Linked DNA regions of Ovis aries. The main gene of each other region encodes a partner of the protein of the gene in region 2 in a complex. Links are inferred from orthologs where the notes say so. Each region holds a gene or a part of one and is shown on either strand. Other genes may lie near its edges. The genes, in order: KCNE3 and KCNQ1.

Region 1 (14,643 bases), on a different chromosome or scaffold from region 2:
GCTCCTCGTCAGCTCCAGGAATCTCCCTGTGGGTGCCCCAAGGCTCCTTAGCTCTGCAGCCTCTTCAGGATGTCCCTGGACACATCTGAGGTCTCAGCATGTGTTAGGGGAAGCACACTGACTGGAACCGCCCACCCTGGCCAGGCGCCATAGTAACTATTTGCATGAGTTGTTTTAGGATAGGAGATCCTGGTAATGAACATGGAACTAATAAGCCTCCACCAACAGGAAGAGTTCGGGAAAGGTCCAAAGGAGACACCACATGTCTGACCACCTCCCAGAATCCTTCTCTCTGGTATCCACATTGGCTGAACAAGGTGTGCACCACCTGGAAGGACTCTGAGTCAGAATGATTGGCTAAAGACAACCCGGAAACTAATCCCATCACCATAAGCCGAGACTGCAAGCTACGTGACAGAGCTGTTCTCCTGGGTTCCCTTACCCTTCTGCTCTTCACCTGGGTGCCCTTTCCCAGTAAAATCTCTTGCTTTGTCAGCAGATGTATCTCCTCGGACAATTCATTTCCGAGTGTTAGACAAGAGCCCAGTTTCAGGCGGCCCTGGAAGGGGTCCCTTTTCCTGCAACACATGGACTTTGGAAGCTGGGAAGGCCCAGACCTGGGGGCGGGGGCGGCTGGGGGACAGAAAAGGAAGGAACCAGACACACAGGAAAAAACCCCTCAGAACCACGGTGGATCGCCTAAGGCCAAGCCCCAAGAATTGTGCAATAACTTTACTGTGGGTGATCACTCCCTCCCACTTCCCCTCCCCTTCCTGCAGCAGCGGGATCAGGCCAGCCTAGGGTTGTAGTTAAGGGAACTGTGCCATGACCAAGGGACCCCTGATTGCTGTCCCCCAACACCAGGTTCACAATGTCTCAACTGGGTGACTTCATGAGAAACCTCAGTTCAACACATGAGCTGCTGCTCAGGGATCAGCTAACAGTGCAGTCTAAAACATCCCCTTTTGGGTTTAAGAAACACTGGTCCAGTGTTTAAGAATCCACCCTGCAATGCAAGGGATGTGGGTTCTATCCCTGGTTGGGGAACTAAGATCCCACATGCCTCAGAGCAACTAAGCCCACTTGATGCGACAACTGAGCCTGTGTGCCTCAACTAGAGAGTCCATGTGCCGCAATGAAAGAGAAACTGTGCTCCAGGCAATTGTGCTCCATGGAGACCCCTAGTGCCACAACGAAGACCTGATGCAGTCTAATAAATAAATAAAATTAAAACATTCCCTTTCCCTGAGTACTGACATCTCATTACGAGTCTCTAAAAGGCTGAAAGGACCTGAGACCCAAGGAAATGAGGTGAGTGGCAGAATGGCGGCCAGAACTGGGTTGCTGTTTTACATAGGAAAAAACCATGTTACCAATCTGCCTATTTGGATAGACTGGGTATAAACACAGGCATGACATCAATGCTGTAGCATAGCTTTGTTGTGAAAATTAAAGGGGAAAATGAGGGAGTGCATGGCACTAGACATGCCACAGATGTGGTGGTGGTTTTATTTGTGCAGAGCAGAGGCTGGCAGGGGCTTCAGAGTCCATCTAGCTAACCTCCCTCATTTTACAGTGAAAGAAATGAAAACCAAAGAGCTGTCTTGATTCAGTTGCTACTTGTGTGACTTTGGGTATGTGACTTCCCTTTTCTGGGCCCCAGCTCCTGTGTGTATCTGTAAAATGAACGGGTTTTACTGTGTGATTCTGTAAGGTCCCGATCTAACATCCCATGAAGATACCATAAAACCACACTGTGAGATTTGGGAGACTGGGTAGGCTGGTGGGAGAGGATTTGGGGGCTCTCTAGAGTCCCACAGATGACAAGATAGAGAAGACTGCAGACTTTTTCCTCCAAGGTTAAGACTCTTCAGAGTCCCAGGACTGTTATATTTAATATTCCAGCCCAGATAAACTGAAGGCCAAATCTGTTGACTTGTTCATTTTTCCTCTTTATAGCTCACCTGCCAGTGAGATCTAGCCTGGGGAGACAGACTCTGTCTGTTAGAAAGTGGGGTTAGGGGGAAAGCATGGAGGACAGGGTGGGTTCTGAGGCAGGGTTCAATGAGGAAAGTAAAGGTTCACAAAACCATTCATTCCTCAGACTTTCTTCCAGCTCCTCTCTGGACACACTGGTTGGATATTTGTGGTTCTGATGGAGGGCGCAAAAGAGCCATAGTCGCATGTCTTTAGAAGTTGAGTTGAAGGCAATGGCACCCCACTCCAGTACTCTTGCCTGGAAAATCCCATGGACGGAGGATCTTGGTAGCCTGCAGTCCATGGGGTCGCTAAGAGTCAGACACGACTAAGCAACTTCACTTTCACTTTTAACTTTCATGTATTGGAGAAGGAAATGGCAACCCACTCCAATTTTCTTGCCTGGAGAATCCCAGGGACAGGGGAGCCTGGTGGGCTGCTGTCAATGGGGTCACACAAAGTCAGACACGACTGAAGCAACTTAGCAGCAGAAGCTGGGTTGAGGTGGGAGGGAGGGCCTGTGTGCAAGGACATCCTGTGGCTTCAGGAGAGGCAGAGAGCTCTTAAAGGGACAGCTTGGTTCTCTATGGACCAAGCTCTTGGTTTCTCTTGGACCACAAGAGAAGTCCCTCTCACCAGTTGTAACTGAGGATCCAATAAAGGCAGAAGTTGGTGACTTTGGGAGGAGTTAACCTTCCCTGGTGGCTCAGATGGTAAAGAATCTGTCTGCAGCGGAAGAGACCAAGGTTTGATCCCTGGGTCGGAAAGATCCCCTGGAGAAGGGAATAAACTACCCACTCCAGTATTCTTGCCTGGAGAATTCCATGGACAGAGGAGCCTGGCGGGCTACAGTCCATGAGGTCACAAAGAGTCAGACACGACTGAGTGACTAACACTTCACCTTACTTTACAGTCTTGTCTCCCACGGTCTTTTCTGCTCCAGATGTACTTCTGCCCCCATACAAACCAAGTGCACCCTCTTCCTCCACACCCTGGTGCTACTCTTCCCTGCACATTAACAGATTCACCCAATGTGTTCTTGACTTCATTTTGCCTGACCTGTTTCTTGGGAGTGGAGGCATAAAGCTGTGACCTGAAGGATAAATTGGGTATCTTAGTGAGGTTTTCTTTCAGGTTTCTCTGGGGAAAAGTAAAACTCCACTATTGGTTCTTTTGGTTTCCCTACTGCTCTGTTTTAGCTATTCTTCAAGAAAGAGTGTCTGAAGTGCTTGGAAGTGTAGTAGAAAGGCATGGGAAAGCAGTCACATAAAGCAGGTAGGGAATCCAAAGATAACTCCTGGGACTGCAAATTTTGCCTCTGGCCTGCCTGGTGGTCTTATCACCACCATGGGCTGGTGTGAAAGGAAGCTTAACATACAGTTAGAAGGAGACAAAGAAATAGAATCTGAGCTGGAAGGGATCTTAACAATCATGTCATTGGTGTAACCCCCTCATTCAACCAGTGGGAAAAACCATGCACTTTCCCCGCCCGCCCCCCAACCGCCAAGAGGAAGTCACTTGTTCAAGGTCTCATAGCCTGGGAACTGGGACGAAAAACAGTTATCTCCGTATCTTTTCACTGTAAGTTCTCTGTTCTCTATAAGATAGTCTAACCTCTGCTGATTATCATTCAAGCTCCTTTAGATATGACCCTGCCTCCAGCCTCATCTCACTGCAGCTCTCCCCATTGCCCATGCCCCATGATACTGAGCTACAGGCCATTCTCCAAACATTCCTTGCATTTTGCCCCCTCTTGCTTTTGCTCATGATGTTTGCTAAGGCAGAAATGCCCATCCTCTTTTTATCTGCCTGGCAAACTCCCACACATTCTTCAAGACCCACTCCAATGTCACCTGGGTAGACCCTCTCCTGAGACATCCTCTTCTCCACTCCCTAGCCAGTTAAGTCTCTTCCTCTTGTCTGTTCCTGAAGGGCTTTGCATAAAATCCTATTAGAGCACTATACTATACTGATATTGGGGGTGTATACTGATATTGGGGGTGTAGAAATATAAATAGATATAGATGTATATGCTAAACTGTGAGCTGGGAAGGGTGAGGGGAGGGACCTGTGCCTCATACGTTTCTTTATAGTAGGCACTCAAGAACACATGGATAAATACCTCTTCTTATTAGACTAGTCCCTCCTGCACACACAAATACACATTCATGAAAGCACTTACAAAGCAAGTTCAAGGGCAGGCGGAAATAGATTCCTTTTGGTCATGGGAAGGGAAAGCTCAAAGAAAAGACACTATCTTGGTCAGGTGGGGAAGCGAGGTTGGGGAGGAGGCATTCTAAGCCGCCTTTAGAAGCACAGATTTCCCTGCACCTGAACCCCATTCAATCCAAAGGGCAAACATTCTTGGCCTGGAACACCAGCAGCGGCTTTGCAACCCTCTTCCCTGTGTACCTACCCAGGGTGTGGCTACACACACCCACCTGCTGCACACACACAGTCCAAATCCCAGTCTCCCAGCCTCTAATCTTGCCTTTCAAGTGCGCCTTTCATGGTTCCAATCTCGGCTGTCTGCTTGGCTGTGTGACCTTGAGCACTGCATTTATTTCCTCTGAATCTCATCTATGAGATGGGGATAATTATCCACCCCCCAACTTGCCTCACACCGCAATTTGGAGAGAGACCATGGGGGAAAAGTGTTTTAGAAATTGCAAGGACTTCCCTGGTGGTCCAGTGGCTAAGACTCAATGCAGATGGCCCCAGATGGATACCTGATAGGGGAACTAGATCCCACGTGTTGAAACTAAGAGTTCCCACTTGCTGCAACTAAGACCTGGTACAGTCAAATAAATAAATATTTAGAAAACAAGAAAAAAAGAAATTGCAACATATCATATAAACATTAGAGAGAATTACTGGGCAGCCGGTCACTTTGTTTTCTTTTCTGTTTCCCTACCTACCTCCCCTACCCTGCCTCCCAGTTTTACCAAGAACAGCCAACTCTATGTCTCCTCTCCCCTCCCTTCCTTCTCTTAGCCTCAGAGAAAGCCAGGAGGTTCTTTATTATTCTTGATTCTCAGATACACTTACCTCTTTCAGAAATAAAGAGTATCTTTCTTGTTTCTCATCCTTTCTGATCAGCCCTGTAATCTCTCTCCATTTAGGGGTACTATTCTGTAGTCCTGCTGGTGATAGAGAACACAATGGAATTGGAGTCAAGAGACTCGTTCTGTTTTGTAGGTGTGTCTAGCCGTGTGTCTTGGTTAAGTCATTTCTTCACTCTGGACCTCATTCTCCCCATCAGTAAGATGGGCTTTCTTGTCTTGCTACCCTCTTAGTCGTAATTTGGAGCATTCACCTATTCAATTTATAGGTAGAAAGGTGCTTTGCAAAGCGTGGACTGAGAAAGGAATGAAGAAGTTTGTTTGCTATCATCTCAAGGAATCAAGAAAATCTGAAAGCAGTTTCCTTGCCTCCAGTATGGCTCTCCCCCACTTAGAGCCAACAACTGGTTGGATACCAGAAGATAAGGAGCAGCTAACACATCTTCAATGCACTCTTGTGGCTGAAGGGGCTTCCCTGGTGACTCAGTGGTGAAGAGTCTGCCTGGTACTGCAGGAGACACAGGTTCAATGCCTGGTTAGGGAAGATTCCCCTGGAGAAGGATATGGGGTATTCTTCACTCCAGTATTCTTGCCTGGAAAATCCCACAGATAGAGGAGCCTGGCAGGCTCCAGTCCACGAGGTTGCAAAAGAGTTGGACATAGTGACTGAACAACAGCAGCTTGTTGAAGCGGAGTCAGCCCTGAGATAGGAGTGAGGAGAATTGAGTTCTACTTCTGTCTGTGACCCTGGGCAAGCCATCTCCTCTCTGGACCTGTTTCCCCATAGGCAAACTGTTGATAAGTGGGAAGAGGGGATAGGAGGAGATACTGCTCCACGAGCCCTCACAAAAGGGACTGAACTCCTGTACTTTCTACAGCAGAGACTCTCGGGTCCAGTCCCCCTTCCCCACAGGCCATGCGGAGTACATGGGCGGCAGGAACGGGAGGCTCATCTTACAGGTGGTAACCCAAGAGGAGAAGGCACAAGGCATAGAGCAGGTAGGTGGGCGATTGGCACAGCTTTACACAAGCTGTAAACTAGAACGCAAGTCTCCTGACCCCCAGCCTAGATCTATGTTATTAGCGCTGGAATATGGCTAAGGGGGCCCCAAGGCTTCTCCCGGGACTGGGGCGCCTAGGACGAGAAACACAGCGAAGTGGCGAACTGGCAAGTCCACTCGCAGAGCAAGCGGCTCCCGCCCAGCGAGAAGACTCGCGTGTGCGCTCGCGGCTGAGCCGCAGGTGCTCCCTCGCACATCTGTGGATGTAGAAGGAGCTTTGGTGCCGCCCTCCCGGAGCCCGTGAGTGCCGATCCAAACCCCCAGATTTCCGGCCAAGGCGTGCCGGGGGCCCAGCCTCGCCACGTGCGCCCCGGGATTCCTGTGGCTGGGTTCCTGGAGAGGAGGGGTCTGTACCCGAGCTGCCCCCAAGGTCGGGTCACCGGCCTCCAGGGAGACGGTCGGATCGCTCATTTCTATCCCCGGCTCCAGCTCGGCCTTCCGAGTGCGTCTTACCTGCCCATCTGTAAGGCTCCCAGAGCGCAGTCTGTTGGACTCTTCGCCCTGGGCTCGCGGGTGCCCTCACTGCGCCCCAAGGCGCTCCGCCAGCCCCTCGGCTCGCAGTCCGCGCCCAGCTCTGCCTGCGCCCCCTCTGCTTCGCTCTCCGACCCGCTCTCTGAGCTCTTTTCCCTCCCCCCGGGCGTCCCCACCCCCGGCCCCGCCCGGCCCCTAACCCACCCACTTCTCCTCCGCGAGCTGGCTTTGGGCACCTCCGCCCAGCTGCTTGGCCCCACAGCTCTATGGGTTCCGACCCTTCCGTCCCCTGCAGCGCCTGCTTCCTGGACCAGAGACCGACTGTTTTCTTGCTTCACGACGGCTTGCCCGGTCTGAGGAGGCAGAGAGCCGGGTGCTGGTGGAATCCGACTCTACTCCTCCGTGATTGTGTGGTGGTGGTCAAGTCACTGCTCCTCACTGAGCCGCGGCTTCCTCGCAGTAAAATGGGTACAATTCTTGCATGCATTCTTCACAGGACGATGGTTAGGATCCGAGATCTTAGAATCCAAAATGCTAAACCCAGATGGTCACTGGAGAATCATCTGATTTTAACACAAACCCTCTTTTCCAGACAGGATACAGTTTGGGTAAGGGGCCCAGTTTGGGAAAGGGGACTGTCCCAGGCTCACCAAGGAAGTTGCTGGCAGAGCTCAGACTCAAAATCCACTAGGCCACTCTTCTCCCCTTAACCACTGTCTCCTCCAAGTCTCAGCAGTCCCTCACATACGCAGACAACTGGTGTCCAGACACGTCTCACTGCTCCCTATCCTGCACACTGTGTGCTTTCTGGCCATCAGGCCCTCACTCAAGCTGTTGCTTCCTTACTGTAGACACTGCAGGTTCCAAAGAAAAGAAGACGCCAGGGACAATTGGGAAATGAGGGCCAGGAGGCCTGGCAATGGAGCGGACGGTGGCAGGGAGTAGACTCTCAGGGACTCTGTGGGAAGTCCGCATCAGGGACCTCTTTGCCAGCCTACGGCCTTGGAATAGTTATTAACAAACTGAGGTCAGCTCTGACTCCTGTGCAAAGAAAACTCTGTCCTGGGACATCTGAAGCATATACCCTCAATCACAGAACCTCAGATTTTACCTAAGAAGTGCTATCATTCAAAAAAGGCCTATCCCATGGAGGGAATGTTGTACAAAATTGTACAAAATCTTCATCAAAACACTACTTCTGTGTGACTTCTGTAGTTTCATATTTTGACCCAGCTACTTCTTTTTCTCAGACTGTATATCATCTCTCAGAGAAATCCCTTAGCAGGCAGTCTCAGATTTCAGTCTACTTAAGAATCCCCTCAGCCCTTATTTTAAGTGAAGTAGACTTTTGGGTTCCACTTCAGAGTTTCTGATTCAGGAGATCTGGAATAGAGCCCAGAAATTAGTTGTTCTTTTTTTTTAAAGAAAGCTTCCGGAAAGATTGTGATGTAAATGGTTCTTGAGACCAGCCTTGAGGAAACAAGCCCTGCCTCAGTAAGCCTTCCTTCCCACATCCTGCCAAGGCCTTGCATCTAATCTATAGGACTATTTATTACAGTTATCAAAAGTAACTATTTGTCTTCCTCATCTACTAGGTTGTGAGTTCTTTGAAAATAGGGACTGTTTCTTGTCCTAATAAAATTCTGGAGTCACAGCCTTAGAATCATACCATGTTAGAATTCTAGAATCATTTAGTAATAGAACCTAAGTTGAAAGGACTCAGAGTTATCTAGTCAAATCTCTTACCCAAGAATTCCCCCAAAATATTCATTGGAAGGACTGACACTGAAGCTGAAACTCTAATACTTTGGCCCCCTGATTGGAAAAGACCCTGATACTGGGAAAGATTGAAAGCAGGAGGAGGAGGAGGGGAATGACAGAGGATAAGATGGTTGGATGGCATTACTGATACGATGGACATGAGTCTGAGGAAGCTCTGGGAGCTGGTGATGGACAGGGAAGCCTGGTGTGCTATAGTCGATGGGGTTGTAAAGAGTCAGACATGACTGAGTGACTGAACTGAACTGAATTGAAGAATTCCCCTACATTTCTTTGTATCTGTGTGTATGTGTTAAGTTGTGTTGTGTGTATCTGTGTGTATGTAATAGAGATTTTATTGCTTGTTAATTGTGTCATTTCATACAATTTTAATTAAACAAACTTAGAAAATGTACTGGGAGTGTTAAATAGATGATGGCACTATTGATGAGATTGTTCAACTGTTTTACATAAGATAGTAAAGAGGCACCACTGCCACCATCACCACCCTGCTGAAACTTGTACATTTCATGTAAAAAAAAAGAGTAAAAATAGTAGATTTGCATTTCACTAGCATTATTTTTTGTAATCTATGAACCATAATAAGCCTGAACAATTTCAGAATCTTCAAAGCAAAACAAACCATTTTCTTCCACTAGCAAATGTATTAGTTTCAATTTCTTTAAAAAGAAAAAAAAAACACAGCAAACAAATCAAAATATCCCAATGGTCCTGAATTTTAATGTTTCTATCATACTAATTTAAGAAATGTGACTCAGTTTTCAAACATGAAGCTGATCTTCTTTATTGTAATTATACTTCATAATTCAAACGATTTAACTGATGCCAACATTAGCCCAGTAAAATTCATGGACACAGCTCAATTGCTCTTTTGCTAAGGAAACTTTTTAATAACAGCTATTCTTTAAAAACTCAGACCCAAGCTGCACAGCTGTGACTTGATGAACCAACAAGCAACTCTCCCAGATACCACCGCAGTAGTCCTATGTGTTTTTTTTAGCTGGGGAGTGCATACAGAATCCCTGTGAATCACACGTATATATTAAAAACTTCCTGGTAAAACTACACCAATAGTTTCCCCTATGAATGATTTTTTTTTAAGTAAGTATATACTACAGTTCAGCATTTTGAGAGACTTCTGTGTCTTTTATTACAAAGGTACTGCTATTGCTGCTGCTAAGTCGCTTCAGTCATGTCCGACTCTGTGCAACCCCATAGACAGCAGCCCACCAGGCTCCCCTGCCCTGGGATTCTCCAGGCAAGAATACTGGAGTGGGTTGCCATTTCCTTCTCCAACGCATGGAAGTGAAAAGTGAAAGTGAAGGCACTCAGTTGTGTTAGCTCTTAGCTACCCCATGGACTGCAGCCTACCAGGCTCCTCTGTCCATGGGATTTTCCAGGCAAGAGTACTGGAGTGGGGTGCCATTGCCTTCTCTGACAAAGGTACTAAGAAATACTTTTGTTTTTTTCTTTTGGTTCTTTAAAACTTTTAATGTATTTGTTTATTTATTTTGGCTGCACTGGGTCTTGTTGATGTGCACAGGCTTTCTCTAGTTGCGGTGTGAGGGCTTCTCATTGTGGTGGCTACATTGGAAGGAATGATGTTGAAGCTGAAACTCCAATATTTTAGCCACCTGATGCGAAGAGCTGACTCATTTGAAAAGACCCTGATGCTGGGAAAGATTGAGGGCAGGAGGAGAAGGGCACGACAGAGGATGAGATGGTTGGATGGCATCACCGACTCAACGGACGTGGGTTTGGGTGGACTCTGGGAGTTGGTGATGGACAGGGAGGCCTGGCGTGCTGCAGTTCATGAGGTTGCAAAGAGTCGGACACGACTGAGCGACTGAACTGAGCTGAACTGAACTGAACTCTTGTTGCAGAGCATGGACTCTAGGCGCCTGGGCTTCAGTAGTTGCTTTGTGTGGGCCCTGTAGATATGTGAATGGGCTTTGTTGCTCAGAGGTATGTGGGAATCTTCCCAGACCGGGGATCAGACCCACTTCCCCTGCCTTGACAGGGGGATTCTGAACCACTGGACCACCAGGGAAATCCCTGAGAATACATTTGGATACTTGAAAAGAAGCAAGACTGCGAATGTGGTTTTGTGTTAAAAAATTTAGAAGACCTCAGTTACCAAACAACTAAAAACATACAACAGATAAATAGGAATTTCTTAAAACCATGGTCTCTAATAATACAAAAATTAGATATAAGGCATCTATCTGCAGCAAAGAGAAATATTTTAAATAGGAACCAGCACTTCTATTCAAATACTTTCTGATGCATTTGGCAGATTTGTTTTTATATTCTCCTGTTCAAAATTCCATGGAAAGCTCTCATAATTGAACATTGTGACCCAAACCAAGAGAAAAGTATCAATATAAACAGTTTCTCATTTATTATAAAGAAGCAGTTTGCCCTTGAAAAGAAAAAGGAACTACAAAGAATATTATGTATAAAGTACAAATACTAGTATTTAAGTTTCTCTGAAGCAATTTATGCTTCAGTAATTAAGAGAAAGAAGTGATGAAGACTTTATTAAGATGCTGCTGCTGCTAAGTCACTTCAGTTGTGTCCAACTCTGTGCGACCCCATAGACGGCAGCCCACCAGGCTCCCTCATAAGATGAGGAGCCTATTAGCATGCATCACGCTGTGGGCTAATTGCTCACTCATTATTCTGTTCCACTGGAGTGAGAGTTTGAAAACAGCGTTATATTTCTCTAGAAAAAATTACATCCACTAGACTAAGATCACATAAGTTAACAATGATTATTATTCCCTATATTTGTCATTTAAAAAGCTCAAATGGCTTCATAAAGTATATCAATCAATAACATTTTTACCTTTTATTAAGGCAAGTTTGTGAAAATAATTTAATACAACCAGATATCCTCATGACTTTCAGCTTAAAATATTTTTAATGTAAGAAATAAACCAACAAAATCTGTTTTATAAAAAGCCACTTCAGTCCTAAAAAAGAATAATAAAAGATTTTGAACGCAATTTAGTTTTTAAAGGATACTCTTCCCATGTCTCAAATTCCTAGTGCCATTCATCATCTGTAGAGCCAGTTTTGTTTGACTCAGTTCAGTTCATTTCAGTCACTCAGTCGTGTTCAGCTCTTTGCGACCCCATGAACTGCAGCACACCCGGCCTCCCTGTCCATCACAAACTCCCAGAGTTTACTCAAACTCATGTCCATTGAGTCAGTGATGCCATCCAACCATCTCATCCTCTATCGTCCCCTTCTCCTCCCGCCTTCAATCTTTCCTAGCATAAGGGTCTTTTCCAAGGAGTCAGTTCTTCCCCTCAGGTGGCCAAAGTATTGGGAGTTTCAGCTTCAACATCCCTTCCAATGAATATTCAGGACTGATTTCCCTTAGGATGGACTGGTTGAATCTCCTTGCTGTCCAAGGGACTCTCAAGAGTCTTCTCCAGCACCACGGTTCAAAAACATCAATTCTTCAGCACTCAGCTTTCTTTATAGTCCAACTCTCACATCCATACATGACTACTGGGAAAACCATACCTTTGACTAGACAGACCTTTGTTGGTAAAGTAATGTCTCTGCTTTTCAATATGCTGTCTAGGTTGGTCATAACTTTTCTTCCTATATCAATCCAATTCCATCCTTGAGGAAGTTCTCCTTTATGGTTTATCTGTTAATTTATGTTTCTGGTCTTCTGTTTTTTAGTCACTGTTTTTTTGAAATTGAGATATACTTGATTTACAATGTTGTACTAATTTCAGCTGTATAGCAAAGTGACTCAGTTATTCACATATGTACATTCTTTTTTATTTATTTTTATTTTTTTATTAGAAAACTATAAGGGCATATTATGCAACACAAGTAGGAAATTTTTTTTTAAATTTTTTTTTTTTAGTTTTTATTTTTTAATTTTAAAATCTTTAATTCTTACATGCGCTCCCAAACATGAACCCCCCTCCCACCTCCCTCCCCATAACATCTCTCTGGGTCATCCCCATGCACCAGCCCCCGCTCTTTCGTCACTACATTCTTTTTTATATTCTGTTCCATTATAGTTTATCCCAAGAGATTGGATGTAGTTCCCTCTGGGCTTTTGAAAGTTGTTTTCTTTATCTTTTTTTTTCTCATTTGATGGGATGTGTTAGGATTTTCAGCCAAGATGTTATTGTTTTTGGATGTGGTAGAATTAATGGGGATGGTGATTCTCCATAAACTACTCTTTATTATCCTTGGTGTATACAAGCAACATGGCCATCTTGAGATTAACTTTCACTGCTTCCTGTAACTTGGCTGATAAGTGCTGCCTTATACCTGATGATATGGTGTTAAAAGATGCGTTCATAGACATGATTGGAGGTGTTTGAGGATTTGTTTTGTCCAGGAAACTTCTATAAAAAAGGCTTTGGGGTCACCATTTTCTACTATCCTATAATGAAATGAAACTGGACTTAATTCCTGGAAACTTTTCATCTCCTTCATATATAGCACATGGTGCCTCCAATTCCATTTCCTGGTCTTTGCTGGCACTCAACATGCTGGTTGCAGGGTACCTCCCTTGGACTACATTCAAGACAACAAGAGAAAATGAGGGCAGTGGCTCCAAGGCTCTTAGCTGCAGGAGGCACACACCCTTCACAGGGCAGAGGAGAGTCACGCACAGGCCCTCAGCCTTTGGGGCATGTGAAACTGATGGCTGGGGAATGGGCAAGACTTAATTTTTGACAACAGATTGATCAGCTTCTCTTGCACACCTCTAGTGACTAGGAGCTCATTGCCTCCAAGGGATCTGAAGCTCTGATTGTTAGGATGTTCTCACATTTTAACAAATACTGCCTTCTAAGGACACTTTGGTCCTTGTGCCCAATGGAGACATTAAGTACATGCTTTGTTCCTTTTTTCAGTTCTTCAAAAACTTTAGGTCTATCTTCCACTTCCTTTGGAGTGAGGATGGGGCAGGAACCCTGTCAGGAAAGGCAGCTGGCCAAAGAGTCAATGGAAAGTAGGCTAGACTGCCTTATCTCCCCATCTGTGACTTTCAGTCTTACTATGAGGCTTAGATGACCGGATGAGTAACATGATAAGAATATGATGCCCATACTTAATAAATGGCAGCCTCCATTATTATTAGATGAGAAAAGGAAGAACAAAACAGAATTCCTATTCTGGACAAACCTGAGAAGGACCTTCAGGGAACTCTCTAATTCAGAGAGGTTGGGGACAAGGCCTGGACCTTGAAACAGGGAGGGTGAGGGAGTGGAGTGGGCCAACTGAAGACTCATCTCGAGATACACCTCCTTCAAGTCTTTGTTTAAATGCCACTTCTTAGTGAGGCCTTCCCTGACCATCTATTTACAAGTTCTAATCCCTTCCTTTTCCTGCCTTCCCCAAAGCCTTTCCCTGCCTTGCTTTCCAATAACATCTAACATCATCTAATCTATCAACACTTAACTTTAAAAAATAGGGATTTTCCTGATGGTCCAGTGGTTAAGATTCCATGCTTTCACTGCAGGGGGCACAGGTTTGATCCTTGGTTGGGTAACAGATCCTGAATGTGGTCAAAATAAAAATTTTTTAAATAAAAAATTTATATATATATATATATACATGCAAACACACATATATATATTTATATATATGTTGTGGTTGTTCAGTCACTAAGTCATGTCCAATGCTTTGCAACCCCATGGATTGCAGCACACCAGGCTCCCCTGTCCTTCACCGTCTCCTGGAATCTGCTAAAACTCATGTCTATAGACTTGGTGATGCCATCCAACCATCTTATCCTCTGTCATCCTCCTCTCCTTCTGTCCTCAATCTTTCCCAGCATCAGGGTCTTTTTCAGTGAGTCAGGTCTTTGAATCAGGCTGCCAAAATACTGGACCTTCAGCTTTAGCATTGGTCCTTCCAATGAATATTCAGGGTTGATTTCCTTTAGGACTGACTGGTTTGATCTCCTAACAGTTCAAGAGACTCTCAAGAGTCTTCTCCAACACCACAATTTGAAATGCATTAATTCATTGGCACTCAGCCTTCTTTATTGTCCAGCTCTCACATCCATACATGACTACTGGAAAAACTACAGCTTTGACTATACAGAACTCTGTTGGCAAAGTGGTGTCTCTCCTTTAATTTAACATGCTGTCTAGGTTTGTCATAGCTTTTCTTTCAAGGAGCAAGCGTCTTAATTTTATGGCTACAGTCACTGACTGCAGTAACTTTGGAGCCCCAGAAAATAAAGTCTATCACTGTTTCCACTTTTTTCCCATCTATTTGGCATGAAGTGATGGGATATATATGTC
Region 2 (13,953 bases):
CCCAGGTACTCCGGGGCCTGTGGCCGCACCTTCTGTCTCCTGTGGGGACGCCGGTCGGCGGGTGCAGGGCCCACTCGGGAGCTCAGGACCGTCTCCTCTAAAGGTCATTAACCCAGTCGCATCGACAAAGACCCTTTTTCCAAACAGGCCTGTGTTCCGAGGGCCCAGGGGCACATGGACGCTGGGGGACGCTCCTCTGCCGCGGACAGCACTGTCCCAGGTGGGCTCACCAGTTGGTCCCTCTGCTCACTGAGCCTCGGTTTCCAGGCCGGGGTCGCCTCCACTCCTCCCGCCCTGGGTGGGGCGCCAACACGGGGGTGAGAGCTCCCCACCCCCTCCCAGTGTGGCGCCCCATGCCTGGCTGCTGAGGTGTCGGGGAGGATTTAAGACTTTCTTCTCTGCCCTTGGAACAAAATGCGTTTGTTTGTATTAAAGTTTGAGTGGAGGGAAAAGCAGCTTTTGCAAACACGGGCTTCTCTGTTTAGCGCCCGGGGGTCTCTAAGATCCGGAGGTTGCCAGGCTCTGTTTACCCCTGCATCTAAATTTAGAATTGGGAGTGAAAAGGGTGGAAGCCGCCCTGCGTTCCACCGCCGTTTAAAACTGAGTCTGACTCCAGTTCCTTGGCTCCAGAAAGTTCTACTTCCCAGGCCGGACTGTGTCCTGGCCGGACTGTGTCCTGGCCGGGTGAGGCCAACGGGTCTGGGGGCCGCATGGGGGGCTGGGTGAGGACAGGGCCCCCAGGCATTCACAGGCAAGGTCTGTCGATAGCGCCCAGTGTGGGGGCCCATGTCAGGCTCTCATCTGGAGTTGGGGAACTGGGCCCAGGGGGCAGTGGGCCACGCCTACCCCCCGCAGCATCCAGGGCTCCTCCCCTGCCTGGACTCCGTGCAAAGGTGAGAGTGCGCTGCAGCTTTGATGGGAGGGTCCCCAGGACCCCAGGCCACCGCCAGCTCTGAGTCCCTCCTGCACCTGTCGTCGGTCACGTATGCGACTGAGACCGTGGGCGCTGAGAGCTCAGCCAGAGAAGGGTCTTCACGGCTGGATTTTGCGGGATGAGTAGGGGTCCACAGGGCAGGTCTGTCTCTCCGTCCTTACTGTCCGGGATGGTTTCTTATGTGGACTCGGCAGGCCCAGTGAGGGTGGTGTTCAGGCCTGGTTTCCTCTGGGGTGGGGTTCAGCCCTTGTCATCTGGAGAAAGAACTTTCCGGCTTCAGCTCGAGTGAAAGAAGCATGGTCAGCATCAGGAAGACAGGCAAACAGGAAGCAGTGGGGTGACCCTGCCAGGAACTGGGGTGGAGCCACGCTGACCTGCCGAGTGACCCTGGGCTGCGCTGGGTGTAAGGTGGGTGCCCACTTCCGAGAGCGGGTGGAGGGCTGTCAGCGAGAGCTCGGAGAGCCTGCGGTGCCCAGGGTGTGGTTGAGTCGCTCAGTCGTGCTTGACTCTTTGTGACCCAGTGAACTGTAGCCCACCAGGCTCCTCTGTCCTTGGATTTCTCCAGGCGAGAATACTGGAGGGGGTTGCCATTTCCTTCTCAAGGGGACCTTCCCGACCCAGGGATTGAACCCGGGTCTCCTGCATTGCAGGCAGATTTTTTACAGTTTGAGCCCCTGGTGCCCAGTGAGGGCTCAGCAAAGGCTGGTTGTGCATTTCAGGGACCGTTACTGCTCAAGGTTCTCCTGGCGGCCCCACAAGCCGGATGCCAGGCAGTGACTGTCCCCAGCTGATTCACACTCGAGTGTCCGTGGCCGCCGAGGTCCATCACGCCCCTCAGCCCTGCTGGTCCTGAGGGTCCCACTCCCCGCAGACCACACGTCGCGTATGCCTGTGTGTGTTTATGCCCCTAAGCGTGCGGGTCCTTCCTGACCCCTCAAGGCTGGCAGCAGGTGCGGGTGGCCCCGGGCACACCAGGCAGCCAGCCCTGGGGCCAGGGCAGAGCTGTGACCTTTTCAGTTTCCCCATCTGTAAAATGAGGTGGCAGCAAATCTGCCTCTGAGGGCCAGCTCCCTGAGAGGCCATGATCCCAGGAAGGAGGCCCTTTTTCCCACTGCTTCAGAGAAGTCCCTTGGATGACAGGGCCTCTTGACCCGGCTGGTTCTCCCACCAGCACGTCCCTGGGGCAGTGTGTGTGTGGGGCAACTGGGGCCTGCAGGGGTCAGCCGCCCGGGCCGCACGCGCTCGGAGACTTGGTTGCGGATGGCCGTGGTTTGTTGCAGTCAGCTGTGGTCCTCATACCGTGATCCCCGGGAGGCAGGAAGGGCCGCTGAGGAGGAGATGTCTATGCTGGGTGCCCGGGGCAGAGTCCAGGGCCTCTGCTGAGGGGCTGTGGGCCTGGCCCCGCCGAGGGGTGGATGTGGCCTGGGCAGGGCCCAAGGGTTCACGGCATCCTGCCAGGGGCTGTGTGGGGCTCCCTTGTGCCCCCAAAGGAGGGAGAGAGGACCTGCCTCCACCCTTGCAGTGCTGGCCCCACGGCGCCCCAACCCCTGCGCCTTCTCGGCCATGGTGATCACAGGCTGGTTTCTGGGAGGGAGAAGGGGTGCTCGCGTGATGAGGAGCCCTGGGCCTGCGTGGGCCTCTGTGCGTTTATATATGACTTCCCTCAGAAGGGAAGCGGGCTTGTTTGGGGCTATGCATTTGCTTTTGTTTTCAGCTCGAGTTTGCAAGCCTGGCTGGGTGGGCTCCTCACATGCTGGCCGCCGTCCCCCCAAGACAGGTTGGGGTCTCTGGGGGTAGCCCCACATTGACCGGCGCTGGGCCTCGGGACCACTGCACCTACCTTTTGCCTCTCTGAGACAGTCCTGCCGCTCCCCCAGCCCCTCTCTCTGCACCTCTCCTCCCCCAGGGCCATCCTCTCCCTGATTGCATCTTTCCAGCCTCCTCCCTGAGGCTGGGCGAGGCCTGGACCCCCAGCGCAGCAGCCTCTGGCCTTGGGTTTGTCCTCTGCCCCCCCTACCCCGACATCACAGCAAGGAGCCAGGGATGTACACCCCTGGTTTGGTGCCAGCCCGCTCATCCAGCAGTGGTGAGACCCCGTCAGATGGTCTGGAGCTCACGGTGCGGCTGCACGTTGGCTGGACCACGCTGCACCCCTGGTCTGAGCACCGTGGGCCCGCTTCTGTCCTCGCCCCCGCTCCTGGCCGCCCCTTCCCGCCCTGGACAAATGGCCATGGTCTGTGGGGTGGCGGCAGGCTGACCACGTCCCCAGTGGAGCCGGGCTCCTAAGCTGGGCCTTCTGCTTCCCCCACAGCCCGCTGGCATCCAGGAGGCGGCTTTAGAAAAGAGGAAATGGAGTGACACCGTGCTGTGTTTTGGGGGGACGGGCAGGCCCTCTGGGGTCTCCAGCCCCAGAGGAGAGACCCCGGCCGAGGCGCCTCCCCGGGTCTGTGCCCAGGGGACGTGCAGCTCGGCATTCCAGATCGCCTGCCATCGGGGGCGAGCACACAGGCTGTAAACAGCCCATTCCTAAGCTGCTTGTGTCTGTGAATTCAGGAAAAACAAACAGCTCTGCGGGGATGGGCCGTTTCCTCCGAGAGCTGGAAGGATGTCGTTAACTTGACAAAGGAGGTCTGTGACAGGGTCTGAGGAGCCCAGAGCGTGCCTTGCACCAGGGGGTGGGGGACACCTGGCCTCCCACACTGCGGTCCTCACCCAACCCCTGAGCCCAGACTCTCGGTCACTCTTGCTTCCCGGGGCCTCTTGCCTCTGCCCTGGGCTTCCAAGCCGTTGCGTGTACCCGTCTCCATGTGGACAACTATGCTGGTCTCCATCTGTGTGGACACGTGCGGACCCTTCTGCAGAGCTCATGGAGCAGCCTAGCTCAGGGGGTCTGACTTAGGGGAGGCCCAGCCACCCGTCACAGGGCTGGGTGCGTGTGCTGATGGGACGAGCTGGGGCTCTGGGCACCATGGGTCCCTTGCCAGGCTCAGAGCTGAGTCCTCAAAAACCAAGAAGGCAGTCCACGGCCCAGGCTCTGGCGCCGGCAGGCACAGCCAGGATGAGTCCCGAGGCCCTGGGAGCCAGCCTCAGATGCCAGCAGCAGGCGAGCCTGCAGCGGGATGGGGGACACGAGGGGCAGCAGCCCCCACCCCGCTGTCCCAGCACATGCCTTGGATGGACAGCCCCCTACCCCCATGGAGAAGACCGCTCATCTGGTTCTCCCAGAAAAAAGGGCACGTAGAGCATCTGGTGCCTGGGCTGGCATCTGGAAGCAGCATGCCATCTGTGGCCAGGCTCTCTGTGGAGGGTGGGCCTCAGGGGTGGGGGGGCTCCTGGCCTCCTGGGTGGTGGGCCTCCTTGGCACGGGGCGGGGGTGGTGTAGGGAGGCCGAGCTCCCGTGCACACGCCGTGAACTTGCTTCCTTTGCAGCATTAAGTTTGGGCTCCAGACCCTGTGGGCTGGGGCTCTGGCCTCCGAGCTGCCCAGCCCATCGGTGCAGGGCTCTCTCCCTGGCCTCTGCACGCAGCAGGTCTCGGGTGGAGGGGCTTCTGGCTGGACGGACGCCCGTCCTGAGGTTCTGGGGCTGACCGCCGCCTGCTGTCCTCCTGCCCACAGGTCACGGTCACCACCATCGGCTACGGGGACAAGGTGCCGCAGACGTGGGTGGGGAAGACCATCGCCTCCTGCTTCTCCGTCTTCGCCATCTCCTTCTTTGCGCTCCCGGCGGTAGGTGTGCTCAGGGTTGGTGCGGCGTCTCCACGGCCCCTCCGCTCTGGAGGCTGGTGGGGGTGGTGGCCACCCTGTGAGCAGACACCCAGAGGTGGCCCACTCAGACCCCCAGCTTGCTCGCCAGGCGCAGGCTCTCTGGAGGCACTGGCCTGGTCTGCGGGGCCTGCAGCGCGGAGCCGGGCCCAGGGCGCCCAGCGCGCCTGCTGCCCGCTCCCGCATCTGCAGGGCGTGAGCCTGCCTTCTGTCCTTCCAGGGGATTCTCGGCTCCGGCTTCGCCCTGAAGGTCCAGCAGAAGCAGAGACAGAAGCACTTCAACAGGCAGATCCCGGCGGCAGCCTCGCTCATCCAGGTGGCGGCCCCGCCCCCGTGGCCTCGGCAAGGGCGTCTGGCCACCGGCCCACCAGGCAGGGCAAGGGCAGGGGAACACACACATGTCTGCTCGGGGAGCCGGGCGTGGCCCTCGGCCCCCAGTGCAGCTGGACCCTCGCCCATGGACCCTCTGAAGGGTGGAAGGGCGGCAGGCCACGGCACGGACTCGCCTGCCCAGTGTAACCCCTGTCCCGGGAGTTGTGGGATGATGCCTGCCGGCTGGTGGGAGGCACGGTGCTGGGGAGCCCAGCTGCCCCTGTCCTGTGGGCCAGGCTCGGGGATGAGGAGGCGGCCTGGCCACTCCCGCTGTGCCCACTCCTCTGGACCTGTGGCCTCCGGCCGCAGCGGCCCCCTGAGTGTCTGTCCTCAGCCTCTTCTGCGTGGGGGCAGGTCTGGGAGGGGGGCGGGAGTCAGCAGGGGGCCGTCCCCCAGGGGGTCAGGGCCTGCCTGTGCAGCAGTCAGGGCCTCAGTCCTCCCGGCTAACCCAAGAGCGCGGGCCACTTTCTGGGCCTACCTTTACCTCCCAGAGGCTTGCGTCCCCACAGGGCCGGGGCTCAGAGCGCCGGGCCTTTGGGGGTGGGTCGGGGGCTGCAACTGCCCCAAGGCCCCTTGTAGCCCCCACCTCAGGCTTCTGTGACAAGACTCCAAGCCCAACAGAAGTGGGGAGAGGCAGGTCCCAGAGGCAGGCGGCCCTAAGCCCCTGGATGTGGGCTCCAAGGACAGCCTGGAGCGTGGGGCAGGCCTCTCAGCGCCAGTGAAGCCTGGGCACAGGGACCACTGGCAGACTGTGGCGTCCCGAGTGTCCACCCAGAGCCTGGGAGCCGCAGGAGCGCCTGGGGCTGTAGGCAGCGTGGCCTGGCGGGGGCCGGGAGCAGGGCCGTCGTCTTATGTCAGCCTGGACTCGGGCCCCTGTGCCCACCAGGGTGGCCTGGGCCCCCAGAGCTGAAGGGCCCCAGGGGCTGCAGCGGCAGCTGCAGCTCAGCGGGGGGCCTCTGCTCTGTCCCTCTGGAGCCTGTCCGGAACCACCGTCTGGGGCTGGATGCTAACCCTGGACAGGAAGGAAGTGGAGGCAGCGGCCCTCGGGCCGGGGGCTCGGGCCCTGCAGCTGGTTTTCTGGCCCCACAGCCTCTCTCGGGGAGACCGTAAATCAGGCAGCAAATGGCCTGCCTGCAGGGCTGGGTTAGTGGACTCCCCGAGCGGTGGGTGTGCAGCCTCGCGCACACCTCCCAGGAGACGGGAGAGGCCTGGAGGGGGGTGAGGGGCAGCTGGAAGTCCACCCCTGCCTGGGGGGCCGGGGCGTGGCACCCGGCTCCGGTTGCAGGGGCATCACTGCCCAGGAGCGTGTCCCTACCGCGTCTCCCTGGCTCCCGCGGCCAGCAGTGCTGAGGCCATCAGGGTGCGTCCTCCTACGAGCTCCTGGCTGCCCTCCTCATCCCCAACAACCCCTTTCCTCCAGGTCACCCAGCGTGGCAGCTGCCAGGGGTGTCTCTAGGCCTGAGACCTTCACCCACATGCCATCTGGAGGTTCCCAGAAACTGGGGGTTCCTGGTGGGTGGCGCTGCCTCCTGGGCACTCAGTCCTGCTTCTGCCGGCCCGAGGCCCTGCCCCTTGGCGCTCCCTGTGAGTGCCCCACCACGGCGTCCCTGGGGGTGGACACAGAGGGACTGGGGTTCACAGGCTTTGTGCTGTCTGAGCGTGTGCACCGCCTGGGGAGGTGAGGGCGGACCCCGAGCCTCAGGAAGGGGCTGGTGGGCAAGAGGCCCTGAGGCTCAGGCAGCAGAGGGGCCCAGCAGGCAGTGTGGCTGCAGTTAGCGTGGGCCTGCGGGTAACGGCTGCCCCTCCCGCTGGTTTCAGACAGCCTGGCGGTGCTACGCAGCGGAGAACCCAGATTCCTCCACCTGGAAGATCTATGTCCGGAAGCCATCCCGGAACCACGCCCTGCTGTCCCCCAGCCCCAAGCCCAAGAAGTCAGCCATGGTAACTGCCGTGTTGCAATTGGGGGGAGGCCACGTCACGGTCAGGATTTGTCCCTGATCCTTCAGTCCAGTGTAGCCACGTCGGCATGGGCACTGGCAGTGTGCGCCGTGCTGGGCTCCCACCATCCAAGTGGCCCAGGTCTGGCCCCGGGACTGGCCACACCAAGGCCAGCACTGGGCAGGTCCAGAGGAAGCACCATGGGGAGAGGCCCGGCTGGATCCTGGCCTGCCCTGCCGGCGGGGTGTTCTCCACAGGGCCTGGGTGTTGGGCTGTCTGTGCCGGGCAGGTGAGCGGCAGGGTGGCCGTGGCTGCCTGGCTCAGAGAAGAGGGCCTTGGGGGTCTCGGTATAAGGGAGCTGAGGCAGGCTTGGGCGTGAGTCCCGAGAGTGCAGGGTGACCGGCCCAGCAGCGGCCTCCCTCCGGCCCGCACCCACACCGCCCTGGAGAGATGCGGTCTCCCAGGCGCTGGCTGCCTGCGAAGCCTCTGCACCCGCCGTTTCCTCTGCCAGCACTTCTCCCAGACCCCAGCGGGGCTGGCTCGCTCACTTCCTCCCAGTCACCACCTCAGAGGCGCGCCCTCTGGCCCTCAGCCTGTGCACCCCGCTGCCCCACGCTCTCAGCCCCGCTGGCCACAGCCCGCATTGTCCCCTGCCCTGGGGCGTTCCTGTCTGCTTGCTGTTTCTAGTTTCTGTCTGCCTGCCCCCAAGGCTGTGAGCTCCCAGGGGGCCGCTGGCAGCACCCCACGCTGCAGCACCCCCTGCCAGTGTGCGAGAGTCCCGGAGCCCGGCCCTGGCAGGTGCCCAGAGGGTGTTGCCACCGGTGGTCGGGGGTCAGCAGAGGGCCCCGGCAGGGGACGCCCAGGACCTGACCACTTCCTCTCGTCTGGTTTTCTAGGTAAAGAAGAAAAAGTTCAAACTGGACAAGGACAATGGTGTGAGCCCAGGAGAGAAGGCACTTTCGGTCCCCCACATCACCTGCGAGCCCGTGTTGGAGGACCGCAGGCCCGAACCCATCTCGGTAGACGGCTACGACAGCGCTGGTGAGGAGCCCCCGCTTGCAGTGGAGGGGGCAGGCCCTCCCTCAGCTCTGAGCAGGGCTGCCGGGGCCTGGGGGGTCGGGGCAGCCTCACGTCCCCGGCCAGTTGCTCTCGTCCTGGGGACAGCTGGCACTGCCACGCCTGCTCCGTCAGAGCGGGCCCGTCGCTCGTGGAAGTCCTGCCCTGTTCTGCACTGGGCTCTGGGTTTCTGGGAGCCAGGCCCTGCCTCGGCCGTGCTATATGCCTGGCGCCCAGGCCTGGCAGAGAGGAGGGGCCAATGGTTCACGTGGACCCCTGTCCCGGGGGAGTGGGGCTGAGGGTCCTAAGCCAGCCTGTGTGCGCCCGCGGCTGGCCCCTGCTCAGCTCTGCGCCTCTGCTCTCTGTCTCCTCCGTGTCCGCCTCTCCCCTCTTCCCGGGACCCCCAGGGTTCCGGCCAGCACCTGGATGTGCCAGTGTGTCAGGGGCTGAGGGCGGTGCCACTGCCTCAGGCGTGGCTGAGGGGGCCGAGCCCGTGTGGTGCTGGTGGGTGCCTGGCGCCCCATCTGCCAGGTTTGTGGATGGCTAGCCCGTGACGCATCCTCCGTGTCTGGGCACAGCCTGTGGAGGGCGGGGGGTGCTCTGGGAGGAGCCACGGCCCCTTGGCGCTCCTGAGGCTGTCTGTGGGCTTCCTCTTTGGGAAGCTGGGTGTGCAAGACCCAGCCTGGGTGCCCGGGGTCTCCTCACATACTGTCGGGCCCCTGGGATGCGCCACCCGCCTGCCCACTGCCGTGGGCACAAAGGACGATTGTGCCCGCCATCCGGATCTGGGGCAGGACCATTGTTGCCTTGCAGATGGGGGCTTTCTGCGAATGCTAATGCTCAGGTCGGCACAGGGCGGAGCCATGCTCGCTGTTGGCTGAACAGGGAGCCCCCGAAACGCGGCGTCCATTCAGCCCATGCGGCGTTGTGGAGTCCTCCGTGCTGCCTGCGGAATGTTAATGAGGGGCCAGGGCCGGGAGTCAGGCGCTTTCTGTGGAATGGCCTCGCAAGGAGGGCTTTCTCCTTCCCTGCCAATGAGATAAGTCTGCCCAGCCCAGACCCGCCGGATTTCTAGAGCCTGAGCTGTCGGCCGGGCCCCAGGGATGCAGAATGCCCCCGCCCGAGGGATCCCTGACGCGCCCGCCTGGCGGCTCTGGGGAGCCCTGGGGTGGGAGCAGGGGTGCGCCGCCGGGGTAGACGCTGTCACAGGGACAGGCCCACAGCCCCACTCCCAATACTGGGCACCACCCGCTAGGCTGCACCCCACTTCCACGCTGGACCCTGACTTGAACCTCTCTGCTCCACACACAGCGCCTGCCAGCAGCACGCACCCCCAGCCCTGCCCACGGCGCCAGCCCGCCCAGGGTGTTACCTGCCTGCCGCGCTGCCCACAGAGCGTCCCCTCGCATGCCTCTCCCCGCCGTAGGCAGGGCTCTCTGTCTCCAGCTGGCGGCTGCTTGGGCTCCTGTCCTGTGGCTCTGGGACCCCGGGGCCCTAGGCACGGCCGCCCTGTCGAATCTGCTCTAATCCCCGGGTGGTGGCCCCGTCTGCAGGGCCAAGGAAGGGCCTGGCAAGCAGTAGGACTGTCTTGGACAGAGGTGTTCAGGGGCTGGCTGCTCCTCTCCATGGCGACCTGGGCGTGGCTTTTCCCACGGCTCCCCCGCCTCCTTGCTGTGGGCTCCCCACGTGCGGGGTCTCTTCCCATCTGTGACCTTGGCCAGGCTGGTGGCCCTGGGCCTGAGTTGTGACCGGAGCCCGCAGGTGCTGGGCGGGCCAGATGGCAGAAGGCCGTGGAGCAGGAGCGGCCACAGTCAGCCCTGTGCCCTGCGGGATTTCCTGGGGTGGCACCCATGGAGCGGTGGGCAGGACTTGTGCCCTGCGGGATTTCCTGGGGTGGCACCCGTGGAGCGGCGGGCAGGACTTGTGCCCTGCGGGATTTCCTGGGGTGGCACCTGTGGAGCGGCGAGCAGGACTTGGTCAGGACCCGTGGGCAGGACTTGGGGGCAGGTCAGCTGGGAGCTTGCAGTGTCGTGGTGGGGGGATGGGGAGAGGAGGCAGAAACCAGCTGGAGGGGGGACCTGCAGCCTCGGGGGTTCCCCGGGTATCGGCAGAGCTGGGGGCAGCGTGAAGTCTCTGGGTGAACAGAGCTATCTGCTCCCATCACAAGGACTTCAGACAGAATTTCAGAGAATGAAGGGCGGGAGCCCACGTGCCTGTTCTGTGGAAGGACCGCAGCGACACACAGAGGCCTTGCCTGCTCCAGGGGTTTCGGCTTCCGCTCACGCTGTCTCCCCCTGCTGAGTCCAGCCTCTTGCCTTCCCAGGCGTGGAGGCCATGTGAGCCCCGCCCGGAACTGGCCAGGGCCTGGCTGCCTGCCTCCTGTGCCTCCACCTCCCTGAGCAGCGAGCGGCGGGCTGGATGGGCTCTCACGCCAGCACCTCCTGCTTTGTGGCCTGCCGCGCCATGTTTGCATTTTGACTTTGTAGCCCGTCCTCGGCAGTAGCGGCTCTTTGTTGACAGTGGAGGCTCGTATTTGCTGACAGATTGGCCAGTTGTCTGTGTCTCAGTTGGAGTTGAATTTCCTTCTTCCTGAAGCCGGTGCTGTCTTCCGGGACCGTCTGTCGACGGCCTACTCGGTTTCCGCTTGTCTGAGATTTCTGTATTTCACTTTTGCTCTTGAACCATGGTCCAGCTTGCTAGAACCATACAGGTTGAGATCTGTATTTTCTTTAAGTAAACAAAAATTTTTAAATTGAAACACAGTTGATGTACAATGTACCAGGCACACAACAAGAGAGTCAGTTATACATGGATATAGATTCTCTGTCATATTCTTCTCCACTGTAGGAGGCTGGAAGTCCGCCGCCAGCTCCCAGCTGGTGTGCCCTCTTGAGCTGGCCATCTTCTGTAGGCGACCCATCCTCTCTTCTGATGACCTTAAACCCCTTCTCTTTGACTTTGGTGTTCTGTAGTTTCATGATGAGGTGCTGTGACCCCTGACTCTGAGGGTTTGCGTCTTTCATCGAGGGGAAGATTGGCCCTGCCGGGTCACAGGCTGCCGCCTGCCCTGACTGGCCTGGTCTCTCCTGGAAGTGTCTGCGCGACCCTCCCGGGCAGCGCTCCTCGCCGAATCTGCCGCCGCCTGTCCCTGTGCCCTCAGCGACCGCTGTCTGGTCTCCCAGCCCCTCACCCGTGTCTCAGTTTCCACCTGTTCTTTCTCTCCCGTGTGTCCTCACGTGAGGGTCTCATCTGCTTGGTCTTAGCATCCTGTATCTTCCTCGTGTGTGACGTCACGGCTTTGAGCCCCTTAAATGTGCTGATCCCACCCTATCTGTCCTGGAACACCATCAGCTGCGCTCATGGAAGAGTCCTATTCTGTTTGCAGTGGCCTCTCTGATGCTCGGCTCCTCGTGGGGCTGTGGGCGGAGGTGGCGACTGTGGACGTTTTGTATCGGTGGGTTCCTCTGGACTCTGGTTAAGGGGACACTGGTCTAGAGGGGCGACCCAGTGAATCACAGCAGGACCTGCGTGCGGCTGGTGTATAGGTGTGGGGCTTCCCAGACAACCTGTGTCATGGGCCCTGTAAGAGCGAGTGTGAGCGCGCCCACCGCTTTCATTCTAGGAAGACAGCCGCGGCAGGCGGCTGCTGTCCCTGCCGCCGGCCAGTGCGAGCGTTTGCCCGGGCTTTGTGGTGCTCTGTCCGTGTCCGCCCTTGGCTCTTGGTTCCTCTTGTTCATGTGGAGCCGCAGCTGCCAGTTCCTGCCTCATGTGGTTTCAGGTGCGGCCTCTTCCCTCTGGGGGGCCGCACGGTCCTCACTGTGGCTGCTCAGGTGGACAACCCAGGCAGCCTGTGGGTCAGAGCCTGCTTGCCCTCTCCACTGGGAGGACACGTCCCTGGAGCCAGGTGAGCTCCGTGGTGCCCACAGGAAGTTGCTCTGCTCCAGAACTTGCAGAGAGATGCTGTCACTCCCCTTGCCAGAAACGGAAGTCCTCCCCTTGGTGACGGACAGAGCTGCTCCTGATGAGAGAGGCAGGGCGTCCCTGTTGGCGGAGGCTGGGAGGGGACGCTCCAGGTTGGGATGATCCTGTGGATCCCTCGAATTCTACTTTTAACACAGACTTGGAGACCCATGCCTCAAATACCGAGTCACAGTGCTATGGGCAGGCCAGGGGTGTGTGTTGGTAATAAGCCCCCGGTTACCCTGGAGCCGGTGGCCTGGGAACCAGCACGGCTGTGAGAACAAGGCGCTGCTTCTACAGCACCTGGCCCGCATGCCGCCTTGGTCTCACCTGGGTCTAAGCTGCCGTGTTCAGGACTGAATGGGCTCCTGGTGCCCTCCTGGTGCCCACCTGCCTGGCCTCGTCTGAGGGTGTGGTGTTCCCCTGGCTCCAGTCAACACACTTCACTCACGCAGCCCCAGGATCATGGGGAAGTGGTCCCACGAGGTCTTGCAGGCCAGGGCCTGTGACCCCTCCAGTAAGGGTGAGAGTTCCGGATGGGCGTGTGACCCCTCCAGAGGCATGGGGGTTCCGGATGGGCCTGTGACCCCTCCAGTAGGTGTAGGGGTTCCAGATGGGCCTGTGACCCCTCCAGTAGGTGTGGGGGTTCCGGATGGGCCCTGCAGGCATGTCCTCATCTCCTGGGCCAGAGCCTTCTCGTTGGCCCTCTTCCGAGCTACTCACCCCTGGTCCCTTCTCTCAGCCCCAGGGCTTCACCAAGATGACTACTGGTTCATACAATCCTACAATGTATCTAAATATGACTTTAAGTCCAGTAGCCAAAAGGCAGAAAATAATGAATGGCATATAGAAGGTGGAAGAAGCAAATCCAGGAGTGGAACTGGAGGTGTTAGTACAGCCGCCTCAGAAGCTGGCGGAGCAGGTGGAGAAGCAGTAAGGGTGAATGCGCGTGTGTGCTCAGTCACGCCCAGCTCTTTGAGGCCCCGTGGACCGTAGCCCACCAGGCTCCTCTGTCCATGGGATTTTTCAGGCAAGAATGCTGGAGCGGGTTGCCATTTCCTCACTGAGGGGATCTTCCCGACCCAGGGATTGAACCCATGTTTCCTGCGCCTCCCGCATTGCAGGAGGATTCTTCACCTGCTGAGCCATTGGGTGCAGCCCAGGACAATCCTTTCAACCAAGATGACCCAGGGAATGCTGGCAGAACAGTCCATATAGCAGGAGCACAGCACGTGGTGTTTCCGAGGGGACACAGAGCAGCCACCGAGAGAGAACCGGGTTCCGAACCACAGAACATGTCCCAGTCCATTGTAAATGATCCAAGTGATATTCACAGTATGTCCTCTGACCACAATAGAGTTCAACCGAAAATCAATAAGAAGAAGAGCTCTGGAAAACCCGCACATATTTGGAACCTAAATAACATGCTTCAAATAGCACAGGGCCAGAGAAGAAATCCAAACGAAAAACTAGAAAACATTTTCAACTTGATGAAAAAAAAGTCCGGCGTATCAAAATATGTAGGTTCTGTTAAGGGCAGCACCAACACGCCCACTAGAGAAGAGGAGGGCCCAGCCAGCCTCAGCTTCTACCACGAGAAACCAGGAGGAGAAGATCAAACTCAACCCCAAATAAGCAGAAACCAGAAAACGATAAAGCTCAGAGCAAAAACAAACGAAATGGAACGCACAAAGCCAAAAATGCATATAATAATGAAACAAAGATATGATTTCTTAAAAAGAAGATCAATACAGTTGATAACCCTTTACCCAGAAATATCTGGAGCAAAAGAGAATACACAAAGTATCAGGACTGCAAGATTCCAGATCCTACAAATATAAGAAGGATCATAAGGGACCAGGCTTTAAATTCCAACTCAGATGACATGGGAAAATGTCTTGAAAGATGTAAACTACTCAAGATACATAACC

The links.
Region 1: the proteins of KCNQ1 (region 2) and KCNE3 are in contact, whole or in part, in a cryo-EM structure (PDB 6V01), measured with the Homo sapiens proteins. The link is inferred for Ovis aries from reciprocal best matches to the Homo sapiens genes KCNQ1 and KCNE3. Residues at the interface, in NP_000209.2 of Homo sapiens: Arg116, Pro117, Thr118, Gly119, Trp120, Cys122, Phe123, His126, Phe127, Phe130, Leu134, Leu137, Ile138, Val141, Leu142, Ile145, Gln147, Tyr148, Arg181, Met238, Val241, Asp242, Gln244, Thr247, Lys362, Asn365, Ile368; in NP_005463.1 of Homo sapiens: Asp54, Asp55, Asn56, Ser57, Tyr58, Ile61, Met65, Phe68, Ala69, Val72, Gly73, Leu75, Ile76, Leu77, Tyr79, Thr80, Arg81, Ser82, Arg83, Val85, Lys87, Asp90.

What each region holds. Positions count from the first base shown.
Region 1 is NC_056068.1:52,523,724-52,538,366, forward strand, and holds the start of KCNE3 (potassium voltage-gated channel subfamily E member 3), read right to left. Parts: upstream 6,716-14,643; 5' UTR 6,562-6,715; coding exon 6,554-6,561; intron 5,121-6,553; exon of another isoform or gene 5,026-5,120; intron 1-5,025. UniProt on the Homo sapiens protein: Ancillary protein that functions as a regulatory subunit of the voltage-gated potassium (Kv) channel complex composed of pore-forming and potassium-conducting alpha subunits and of regulatory beta subunits.
Region 2 is NC_056074.1:45,402,584-45,416,536, reverse strand, and holds part of KCNQ1 (potassium voltage-gated channel subfamily KQT member 1), read left to right. Parts: intron 1-4,549; coding exon 4,550-4,660; intron 4,661-4,916; coding exon 4,917-5,012; intron 5,013-6,886; coding exon 6,887-7,009; intron 7,010-7,902; coding exon 7,903-8,047; intron 8,048-13,953. UniProt on the Homo sapiens protein: Pore-forming subunit of the voltage-gated potassium (Kv) channel involved in the regulation of cardiomyocyte excitability and important in normal development and functions of myocardium, inner ear, stomach and colon.